Linked DNA regions of Macaca mulatta. The protein of the gene in region 3 purifies or fractionates together with the protein of the main gene of each other region. This does not show direct contact. Links are inferred from orthologs where the notes say so. Each region holds a gene or a part of one and is shown on either strand. Other genes may lie near its edges.

Evidence for each region.
Region 1: the proteins of PRPF40A (region 3) and NCBP3 purify together in Homo sapiens (affinity purification with mass spectrometry; 3 studies listed by BioGRID and IntAct, counting the BioPlex papers as one, with this or other methods). This does not show direct contact. The link is inferred for Macaca mulatta from reciprocal best matches to the Homo sapiens genes PRPF40A and NCBP3.
Region 2: the proteins of PRPF40A (region 3) and RBM25 purify together in Homo sapiens (affinity purification with mass spectrometry; 5 studies listed by BioGRID and IntAct, with this or other methods). This does not show direct contact. The link is inferred for Macaca mulatta from reciprocal best matches to the Homo sapiens genes PRPF40A and RBM25.

What each region holds. Positions count from the first base shown.
Region 1 is NC_133421.1:5,298,877-5,302,523, reverse strand, and holds part of NCBP3 (nuclear cap-binding protein subunit 3), read left to right. Parts: intron 1-1,381; coding exon 1,382-1,536; intron 1,537-3,177; coding exon 3,178-3,339; intron 3,340-3,647. UniProt on the Homo sapiens protein: Associates with NCBP1/CBP80 to form an alternative cap-binding complex (CBC) which plays a key role in mRNA export. NCBP3 serves as adapter protein linking the capped RNAs (m7GpppG-capped RNA) to NCBP1/CBP80.
Region 2 is NC_133412.1:146,280,206-146,283,852, forward strand, and holds part of RBM25 (RNA-binding protein 25), read left to right. Parts: intron 1-628; coding exon 629-779; intron 780-3,540; coding exon 3,541-3,647. UniProt on the Homo sapiens protein: RNA-binding protein that acts as a regulator of alternative pre-mRNA splicing. Involved in apoptotic cell death through the regulation of the apoptotic factor BCL2L1 isoform expression.
Region 3 is NC_133417.1:57,628,206-57,632,365, forward strand, and holds the start of PRPF40A (pre-mRNA-processing factor 40 homolog A), read right to left. Parts: upstream 2,907-4,160; 5' UTR 2,885-2,906; coding exon 2,675-2,884; intron 1,578-2,674; coding exon 1,446-1,577; intron 103-1,445; exon of another isoform or gene 71-102; coding exon of another isoform or gene 23-70; intron 1-22. Other genes in the region: ARL6IP6 (ADP-ribosylation factor-like protein 6-interacting protein 6), read left to right, coding at 4,071-4,160.

The DNA.
Region 1 (3,647 bases), on a different chromosome or scaffold from region 3:
TATCAATGCTAGCTTTAAATTTGATTTTAAATTATAACTTCTTAATTCCTCCTAATTTTATATCTTTTATCTATTCTGATTTCAGTCCCTTGTAGGAGTTTAATAAACGCCTCCAATATTTCCTCTGTATAAGCAGTGAGTCTTGTTATGAAAACAACAGACAACCTAGACAGTGACAATCATCTGTATTCCCACTCTTTCCCCACAGTAACTACTGTTAGCAATTTGGCGAATGACCTTTCAGCTATTTGTGTGTGTGTGTGTGTGTGTATATATATGGCACATGGAAAAACTATAGATGTATTTGTATAAAAGTGTTTTTTTTATAAAAATGAGGTTATGCTATTTATAGTTTTGCATTGTGCATTTTTCACTTAACATATTGTAGACATTATTTTTTTCAAGTGTATGTAGTCTGTTGTTTGAAAGTATTATGATTTATTTAACCAATTACTTTTTGATGGACTTTAGGTTTCTATTTTCTTACAATTGCACTAACTAAATAAATTCCTCAAAGTCTAGTTATTATACAAACAATATACGTGTTTAAAAAGATGGTAAGTATTGCTTTATTTTTTTCCAGAAGGGTTTTTTTTTCCTTTTTTTTTTTTGAAACAAGTCTCGTTCTGTCACCCAGGCTGGAGTGCAGTGGTGCCATCTCGGCTCACTGCAAGCTCCGCCTCCTGAGTTCACACCATTCTCCTGCCTCAGCCTCCCCAGTAGCTAGGACTACAGGCGCCCGCCCCCACGCCTGGCTAATTTTTTGTATTTTTAGTAGAGATGAGGTTTCACCGTGTTAGCCAGGATGGTCTCGATCTCCTGACCTCGTGATCCACCCGTCTCGGCCTCCCAAAGTGCTGGGATTACAGGCATGAGCCACTGCGCCAGGCCCCACATTCTCATTTTTAGTTTTCAGAGAACCTTCTGGTAGAGAATGCTGCTGGAACGGTGCTGGCACCTAGCATGGTATCATATCTCTTTAGAAGAGAAGTCTGCCCTTTAAAGAGAGAGACTGTAGACTATACCGTGTGTTGACTACAGCCAAATCACAGCATGTGTGAGCGGAAGCCCCAATCCCTTTGTAGGCCTCTACTTAACATTTGTCCCGGAAGAGGGGGATTGTAGTTACGTGCTCTGTGATAGCACATACACGTGTGGAAACCACCTTCGAAAACCTGCTTACTCGGACCAGTCTCTTTAGAGCGGGCAGATCATGGTTTCCATAAGCAAATAATTATAAGTTTATGGATTTGTAAGTGAATGTTGGCCATATTAGACTGGATTTCTTAAATTGTTTCCTCCAAAGTATGAGATTGTTGTTTGGGCCTTGTCTCACAGTTGAAGTTGGTTAACTGTGCCCCATCCTACCCCCTTTTTAAAGGAACTCCATGAGGGCAGATAGTGTATCTTCAAGCAATATCAAAAACCGAATTGGTAACAAATTACCACCTGAGAAATTTGCAGATGTCCGACATCTACTAGATGAGAAGCGTCAGCACTCCCGTCCGCGGCCGCCAGTCAGCAGTACTAAATCAGGTGCTGTTCTTCTCTTGGATTCCTGGCTGGATTCTGAGCTCCAGAAAGCAGACTGGGGCAGAGATAGGTCCCTGAGTAAAACATGCGATCTGTGAACTGATGTAGCTGTCCTGGTTCATTACGTCTAAATTGTGGGCTAGGTGTTGGAAATTTAGGAGATGAAAAATAATCAGACTTCTGAAAAACTAGCTTTAAATATTTTCATTCCAAATAATTAGTTATTCCTTGGTATCTCTGGGGGATTGCTTCTAGGACCCCCTCCCCGCTCCCCTACAGATACCAAAATCTGCAGATACCAAAATCCATTGATGCTTAAGTCCCTCATATAAAGTGACATATTATCTGCATATAACCTACACACATCTTCTCATATACTTTAAGTCATCTCTAGATTATTTATAATACCTAATACAGTATAAATTCTTATCCTGTATTTTGTAAAATTTGTATTATTTTTTGCTGTACTGTTATGTTTTATTTTTTTCCCCCAAATGTATTCAATCAGCAGTTGGTTGAATCTATAGATGTGGAACCCATGGATGAGGAGGGCCGACCATATTTGACTCTATGACACTGGTATACTTTATATCCAGGAATAATAGAAATTAAGTTGGGTGGTTGTCTGAATGGTTAAGAGTTTGAACTAGATCATTTGTATGTTCAAACACTGATTCCGCAGGTCTTCAGCCGTATCTGCTATGTGCCAGACCCTGGGCTAGGTGCTAGGAATGTCAGAAGCCTTTGGAGGAGACGCAGAGCCACCATAGATCTACTAGGGAAATTGCGAAAGGTTTCTCAGTGAAAGTAGCGTTAGAGCCAGGCTTTGGGGAGGGTAGGATCTCTGTTGGCAAACCTGATTTTTTTTTACGTGGGAAGTAACCTGATCTTATATCTGTTTTAGAAAGATAACTTGAGGGTGGAGTGGGGTGGGGTAGAGAGTTAAAAAAGTAACAAGCCTGAACTAGGTCGGTGGAGACAGAATGGATAAAGAACAGGAAGTCTTGTGAAGGAAGACTCAGTGCTAGGAAGCGTTGGAGGAAAGGAGCTCAGGCCTCAGTGACCGGAGAGACCAGGGTGCTGCTCTCCGAGAGAAGCTAAAGTGAGAGGAGGCCTCGGCACAGGGCCTTGCCAATGAGTGTGTTTCTGTTGTTGCTGTCGTTGTGAGAGGGAACCCCAGAGGACAGGCAGATTTCTGGGGGGATTGAGGGATCCTTTGCTTTTTCCAGTCTCTTTGTATTTACTGGGTAAATGTAATACGTTTATTGGAAACTACTTATATGTTCAAAGATTGTGCCTTCCGCTTTCCGGGAGCTCACGGGATTTTTTGTTTGCTGAAACTTTTGTAAATTATTTAGTCTGCTTGATTCTGCTTTAAAAAAAAAATGGTTGTTTCTTCAGAAATTTAGTTCTGGAGCAGTCAGTTGAGGATTTTTCCTCTGACAGCCCCTATGTCCGAATTTTCCTAGGGATATCCATACTGACTACAAAGGAAGACTACGTAGCAGCCTGATTGTCAGGTCCTGTGTCCTCACTTGGGGGGCAGGGCAGGGGTTAGTGCCAGATCCTGTAGAGGTCTCAGGCGGCTGGTTCTGAGCATAAAGCACACACATGGTCACTGGTGCAATTCTTCTCTTTTTTCAGATATACGCCAGCGATTAGGAAAAAGACCATATTCTCCGGAAAAGGCTTTTAGTAGTAACCCAGTCGTTCGGAGAGAGCCCTCTTCTGATGTGCATAGTAGGCTCGGTGTTCCCAGGCAAGATATTAAAGGCCTCTACGCCGATACTCGGGAGAAGAAATCAGGTTGGTAACACTTAAAACCGATGGGAATGGGGATTCAGTGAGAGCAGAGGACAATGGGTGTATTGGAGCAGACGGCAAGAAACAGCCCATGACAAACATAAGTGATTATTCCTTTTCCATTATAGTTATCATCAGTATCAGCATCAGCATCATCTCAACAGTAAGGAATGCTTAGAGCATAGGAAAAAATAGCACACTCCTGGTTCTTTCTGCTTGGCACAAATCTTTTTAGTTTCATGTGAGCTATTCTGGTCTTTGTCCACATACAAGTCCTACTTTTTTCACATAGCATTTTATCGTAGTTGTTT
Region 2 (3,647 bases), on a different chromosome or scaffold from region 3:
CAAAATAATTAAAACATTGTAATTAGTTGCTTAAATTTAAAGAGTGCCAGGGATTTGGCTTTGTAGAAAATGCCATGAAATCAGTAAAATTATTGAAGGCTAGAAGCATAAAGTGGCAATGTATAACGTCAACATTCTGAGAAGTAATGAACTGTTAGATAGGAGAGAACCTCTGCTTTCTGTTGATTCTGCACTACTTTCTGAGATATTTTTTACAAGTGAATAAATTGAGGATACAGAACTCTCAGTGCTACTAATGCTACTTTATATATTTTTTTATGTTGGTATCTAGGAAAATGAAAATTATTTGTTGGGTATTCCTTGTGAAATAGGCACAAAATGTGAGCTGCCTTTCTGAAAGCGACTATTTTACTTCTTTAAACATTTATTAGAATGACTTTAAGGATGAAGGGAACGTAGTGGTAAATGACAAGATAATGCTTATTTGTTATACATTTACAGGTAGAGAACACACTCTGGTGTGTTCTATAAATATGGAACATTAAGACATTCTTTAACCTCTTAGCATGCAGGTTGTAGTATTGAAAAGAGGTGCTGTTGGAGATGTCATGTGTACTGCTCAATGATCTGAGTATTAAATGAAGCCTTTTATCATTCACTTTTACAGAGGAAGTGCTCTTCAGAAAAGATTGCGTGATAGAGAAAAGGAAATGGAAGCAGATGAACGAGATAGGAAGAGAGAGAAGGAAGAGCTTGAGGAAATCAGGCAGCGCCTTCTGGCAGAAGGGCATCCAGATCCAGATGCAGAGCTCCAGAGGGTAAGATACTATACACCATCCACATGATTTTGTTTTAAGGTTATCATGTCATCTTAAAGCCAACTATGATGCAGTTTAATTTATAGTTAAGGGAAATGCATTTTATGCTCCATGTAACGTGCTATTTTGTGGAACGTTATTAGTACTTTAATTACACAAGTTGTCAGTATTAGTTGATTTACAACTTCATTCTAAACATCCTGCGGATGTCTTATTCATTTGTTTTCTATGTATGTCTTTTTTTTTTTTTTTTTTAATGGAGTCTGGCTCTGTCTTCCCAGGCAGGAGTGCAGTGGTGCGATCTCAGCTCACTGCAAGCAATCTCTGCCTCCTGGGTTCAAGTTATTCTCCTGGCTCAACTACCCAAATAGTTGGGATTACAGGTGCCCGCCACCACGCCCAGCTAATTTTTGTATTGTTAGTTGGAGACAGGGTTTCACCATGTTGGCCAGGCTGGTCTACCTCAAGTGATCACTGGCCTCGGCCTCCCAAAGTACTGGGATTACAGGCATGAGCCACTGCACCTGGCCATTCTATTGTATGTCTTTTTTTTTTTTTTTTGAGACAGAGTCTCACTCTGTCGCCCAGGCTGGAGTGCAGTGGCTGGATCTCAGCTCACTGCAAGCTCCAACCTCCCCAGTTTACGCCATTCTCCTGCGTCAGCCTCCCGAGTAGCTGGGACTACAGGTGCCCGCCACCTCGCTCGGCTAGTTTTTTTGTATTTTTTTAGTAGAGACGGGGTTTCACCATGTTAGCCAGGATGGTCTCGATCTCCTGACCTCGTGATCTGCCCGCCTCGGCCTCCCAAAGTGCTGGGATTACAGGCTTGAGCCACTGCGCCCGGCCTATTGTATGTCTTCTAATGCCACTTTGCTAGAATCTGTTATTTCTATAGTTGAACCTGTTCTTCCTATAATTTGCTCTGACACTTACTTTCTGCGATTTAAATTCCTTCTCTATTGCCATTCAAAGTATTTTGTTTTTATTTATTTATTTTGAGATGGAGTTTCACTCTTGTTACCCAGCCTGGAGTGCAATGGGCGTGATCTCGGCTCACTACAATCTCTGCCTCCCGGGTTCAAGCGATTCTCCTGCCTCAGCCTCTGGAGTAGCTGGGATTGTCTAATTTTTTATGTTTTCTTAGTAGAGACAGGGGTTCACCATGTTGTCCAGGCTGGTCTCGAACTCCTGACCTCAGGTGATCCACCCGCCTCGGCCTCCCAAAGTGCTGCTGGCATTACTGGCGTGAGCCACCGCACCCGGCCAGTATTTTGTTTTTAAAATAAAGCTGTTTCCTTTTTTGTTTTTTGTTTTGTTTTTTTTTGTTTTTGAGATGGAGTCTCGCTCTCTTGCCCACACTGGAGTGCAATAGTGTGATCTCTGCTCACTGCAGCCCCTGACTTCTGGGTTCAAGGAATTCTTCTGCCTCAGGTACCCAAGTAGCTGGTTAGTATTAGGGATTACAGGTGCATGCCACCTTGCCTGGCTAATTTTTGTATTTGTATTTTTATTTTTTTTTGAGACGGAGTCTCGCTCTGTCGCTCAGGCTGGAGTGCAGTGACCGGATCTCAGCTCACTGCAAGCTCCGCCTCCCGGGTTCACGCCATTCTCCTGTCTCAGCCTCCCATGTAGCTGGGACTACAGGCGCCCGCCACCTTGCCCGGCTAATTTTTTGTATCTTTTAGTAGAGACGGGGTTTCACCGTGTTAGCCAGGATGGTCTCGATCTCCTAACCTCGTGATCTGCCCGTCTCGGCCTCCCAAAGTGCTGGGATTACAGGCTTGAGCCACCGCGCCCGGCCTGTATTTTTATTTTTATTTATTTATTTTTTTGAGACGGGGTCTCGCTCTGTCGCCCAGGCTGGAGTACAGTGGTGTCATCTCGGCTCACTGCAAACTCCGCTTTCCAGGCTCCAGGAATTCTCTTGCCTCAGCCTCCCGAGTAGCTGGGATTACAGGCATGCACCACCACTCCTGACTAATTTTTGTATTTTTAGTGGCAACGGGGTTTTACCATGTTGATCAGGCTAGTCTTGAACTCCTGACCCCAAGTGATCCGCCCATCTTGGCCTCCCAGAGTCCTGGGATTACAGGCGCGAACCACCGTGCCTGGCCTTTTTTTTTTCCCTGAGACAGAGTCTGGCTTTGTTGCCTAGGCTAGAGTGCAGTGGTGGAATCTTGGTTCACTGCACCCTCTGCCTCCTGGGCTCAAGTGGTCCTCAGGCCTCTACCTCCTGAGTGTCTGGGACACTTACAAGTATGAGCAGAGTGCCTAACTTCTTTATACTTTTTTGTAGAGATGGGGTTTTCCTGTTTTACCCAGGTTTGAGCCACTGCCCATGTCCTTTTTTTTTTCTTTTTCTTTTTCTTTTTTTTTTTTTTGAGATGGAGTCTTGCTCTGTTGCCCAGGCTGTAGTGCAATTCTGCGAGGCTCACTGCAACCTCCACCTCCCAGGTTCAAGCGATTCTCCTGCCTCAGCTTCCTGAGTAGCTAGGATTACAGTCTCACACCACCACACTTGGCTAATTTTTGTATTTTCAGTAGAGACAGGGTTTCACCATGTTGGCCAAGCTGGTCTCAAACTCCTGACCTCAGGTGATCTGCCTGCCGCGGCCTCCCAAAGTGCTGGGATTACAGGCGTGAGCCACCACGCCTGGCTTTTTCTCTTTTCATAAAGACATTTTACAAGAGATAATGTAAAACAAAAATCAAGTTGAATGGTGTAGAGTTGTAGTTAATCAGATTATTGTTTTGGTTTTAGATGGAACAAGAGGCTGAGAGGCGCAGGCAGCCACAAATAAAGCAAGAGCCAGAATCAGAAGAGGAGGAAGAAGAAAAGCAAGAAAAAGAAGAAAAACGAGAAGAACC
Region 3 (4,160 bases):
GTCAATCCCTTGCAAAACTTACCTTGATTGGCCCAATGGAAACAGAAGGCCCCAGAAAAGAGAGAAGCATCTGGCAGTAGCAAATTGTTTTATTTTATCTTTCTGTGGAAAGAAACTAATTTTAAATAAGAACCAGAGCATTTAAAGAATAAATATTTTTAAAGCTCATTATCTAGTTAGAGCAGCTCTACCAAGAAAACAAGAAGAGCTCCTTGCTGCTTAGAGATGGAAAGAAACAGAAGAGGAATCAAAGTTGTTTCTCCATCACCTAGAGAGTTTTAAAATTTGTGTTATTCTAAAGTCACAGAATAAAAGGCTCTTTTATTTAAAGAACTCCTGCAAGCAGAATCTTTTGGGGCTGGTGTCTTTGAATAAAGGTTTTTTTTTGTTTTTTTTTTAAACAAAATTAAGGGCAACATTCCAAATTAAAAAAAAAAGAGGAAAATCACTTGACATTAAGCCCTTCTACTCTTAAGGTTAAGTAAAAAGAGACAGACACATAGCAAGCTCCTTTTCCCACTGCAATTTCACCAATAACTTTAACCATGAAAGCTTAAACAATTATCAAACAGTACTAATTAGCAAAAGATCACATGAAATTGGCTTCCAAAATATTTTGTTAGCCTAAATTTTTGATGATTTATGGAAATACTCAAATGGAAATAACCCAGCCACCTAAAGATCTATATAGAACTTAACATGGAGCACAAAATTACTCATGGTAACTGAACCTGTTACCTTTCTTAGATGCTTCTCTAGAAACTCAGTTCTACCGAAATCACTGAATCAGCATTAAAACCTTTTGATCCAAATCACTTCTACAAAATGTCCATTTACAATTTATGCTAGAGATGGAAGGGACAGCTCATAAGCAGGAGTGTAGAAGCAATAAGCATTAAAAAAAATAGTGTAAGTGGAAAATGAAGTACCTACTGGCACTGTCCTATGAAGAATCAGAATTATAGAGCACAAACCCCCCACCCTCCCTCACTCTCCTCCAACACACACAGAGGAAGATATTTCAGGAATAAAATTCGCTCTAAACCAAAACAATTGCTATTTTCAGATTCTATTTATTTACATGGTCTACCAAAATCAGTTATGTTGCTGTATCAGATAATATTTACTTTTAGACCATTAACTTCAATTGGCATGGTTGAAAAAATAATCATTAAAAATAAAAGCCTGGACGCACACTTTACTTTTAAATAATAATAAAAAAAAATTCTTAGTTTTGAGGTAATCAGTAAATTTCTCAGGAGACTTTTTCATTACATTCAAATTTCCATTACATTCATGATTCAACATTTGGCTTATTTAAAATTATTCGGGCATAAACTAATCCTTAAACAGCTATAACTATTGACCTAGATTTTGAAATCTTGACAGAATACCTGAGGCAAAAACAAATAAATAAATGCAAAATAAAATAAAAGCATTCTTACTTGTCCCATTGGTGGCCCTCCCATAGGGGGCATCATCTGTGGCATCATTCCATGAGGTACAGGAGGCATATTCGCTCTCTGACCCATAGGGTGCATTCCCATTGGGGCATAATGCATGCCAGGGTGCCCCATCTGAAAAACAGCGAACGTTTTTAAATGAGCAAATAATACTAAACGCTTCTCAAAAATCTCATTTCAACAAATCAGTTATCTGAAGCAACCTAATATTAAGCTTATGCATAATAATGTCACTGGATTAATCTATACCTTGTTTTAAACAAAATGCATTCTGCTAGTATTTAAAACGAGCTTGCAAATTCCGCAACAAAACGGGAAAAGTTAAGATGATTACTGGACAGCTGGATCATAGGTTTTCTCTTTTTTTTAAGCATTGACTTAATCAGCTACTAACTGGCTTGCTAAGCTTGGAGGATACATATTGAATACTAATCTTAAAACTGTTACAGTGAAAACAACAATTCTTCTATTTCATGCAAATATAAAAAATAGCCAGCTATTGTTATTTTATAACACTACTGATTTTAAACTTTAAAATGCTCTATCATATTAACTCAGGTGAAAGTCAGTCTTATAAAACACAAACAGTAGTGCCACCCAGGGACAATTCACTCCTAACAAACTTATTTCCTAACATAACCTTTAAGACAGGTAAAATTCCTTCTGTCAAAAATACATTTTTAACGACTGAGGTTCTGTTACTCACGGACACTAAATGCAAACAACTAATTCATCCCTTTCAACGCAATTTAAAAAGACAACTACTTTCTTTACCGATGAGTCCATTGTTCCATGTTTTAAATTAAAACCAGCTAATTATCTCCTGTCAATTGTCCTAACAGTTCCCCATGCAGACGACCCCACAAGTAATGAAAACAAATTTTGGCAGCCGCTGTTAAAGTCTTACAGAATCAAGCCCCTCCCTCCCCCTTCCAGCTAAATCGGGCCTAAAGCTCCAAGACGCTCACCCCGCCCAAGAGCCAGCACCTTCACCACGCATCTGTCTAGGCCAAGCCTACGGGGTACTTCCAGGGTCTCACATCCTTCTTTGTGCATCCCCACCCTCCACTTCTCTCCCTCACAACATATCCCACCATCTCGAGTTCTTCCTTCGTCCACTCTTATCTTCTTCTCCTTTCGGAGAAAGCTTCCTGTTTCTCTCACTCCGTTTTTCATTGTGCCGCCTTCCCCCTGCCCCACTGATCCCTTACCGAGGGCCGTCTCCTCAGGAAGCCGTCAGCAGAGACCCAAGAGCCGGAGCAGAGGCTTGAGCCGGACAATCTCCGCTCCCCGTCCCCAGGACCCTGCGAGGGAGGATGGCTCTCCATTTCACTCACCATGAGGCCTCCACGTTCAGCTCCCGTCCCCGGCCTCATCGTCGGGCTCAGACTGCTCCGCCGGCGGCCACTGCCGCTACACATACCAACAAGAAGCGATCTGAGTGGCTGGCGCCCACTGGGGCTAAAGGTTAAAGGCTGCCCTGCGCTACGGGGCGGGATCAGCGAGGCCAACAGGCTGACGGGCTTTCCCGCTGTCCAATCAGAATGCGCGGCCGACACGCAACTCTGCGGCGATTCGCCCGCAGCCTCAGCCTCACTCGGCGTCGCCTGCATGGGGCGGGGGGAGGACGGAGGAAGTTTCTGCGCCGAGTCCTCCGTCGGGAAAACTCTACCAACTTCCCCAGGGGAAGGGAAGACAACCGTGTCCCAGCTTCCCGAGCTTAGACCGCCTCACCCCGTAGGGGGTGGGGCAGTGGGGTCTGCCACCTTCCCCCTCCCCGCCCGAGTTACGTACGCCCCACAAACCTGAGGCCGCCAGGGGTAGGGTGGAGGGGGCGGGGGTAAGCAGCCTCTAGTGTTAGCGGTGGCTGGGACCGAATGCGCGCGCGCAGTGCTCGAGGCGGAGGGGAGGGGGCGGGGAAGGCGAAAGGAGGGGTTCCGAGGAGAGGGTTCGAGCTCGGTACGCACCAGGTGGAGAGCGCGCGCCTGGGCGGAGGAGGAAGGAGGCGTGTCGAGTAGCGTGAGGGAAGTTGTGGTACGGGTGGGGAGAACCACACTAAAGGGAGATGGGGTGAGCAGTGAAGGCACCGCCAGAGTACCAGGCAGAGAGCTGCCCTTTCTTAATAGGGGAACCTGGAGAAGAGTGTGAGCGTAGAGGGGAAGAAGGGAGAAGGCAAATAGGTTCGGGAATGTGTCGAAGGCGCGGGAGGGCGCTAGGACCCGGCGTCGAAAAGATGCGGCTTTGGGGCTGTCGGGTCTCGCGCTCCCGTTGGTGACGCGGCAGTGGCGGAGGTGTCCGGCAGGGATGAAGCGCTGCAGGGAGTGGATACTCGGCCGCCTTCGGCCTCCGCCCACTTCTCGCTGCGCGCTTTCCTGCTCCCCCTTCCGGCTACAGCCCTGGGGTCGAGCTCTGGTCCAAGCGCATCCCACCTCGCCTCAGGCCCTACGACTTCCTTTGCAACCCGCCGCCCAACCTTGCTCTCCGTGGTTTACCCCTGGGTTCTGAGGCATGGTGGTAGCGGCCACGGCCGCGGATTGGCTGTTGCGGACCCGGGGCGGGGCAGGTGGGAGAGGCTCATACTCCGCGGGTTTCGCTGTGCTTCGCGCCATGTCGTTAGCGGAGAGCGGGTGGCGGTCGGCTCTGCGGCGCCGCCGTCCCGGGACCCCGGGCCCTGTGGCTGGGCCAACATATTCCTCC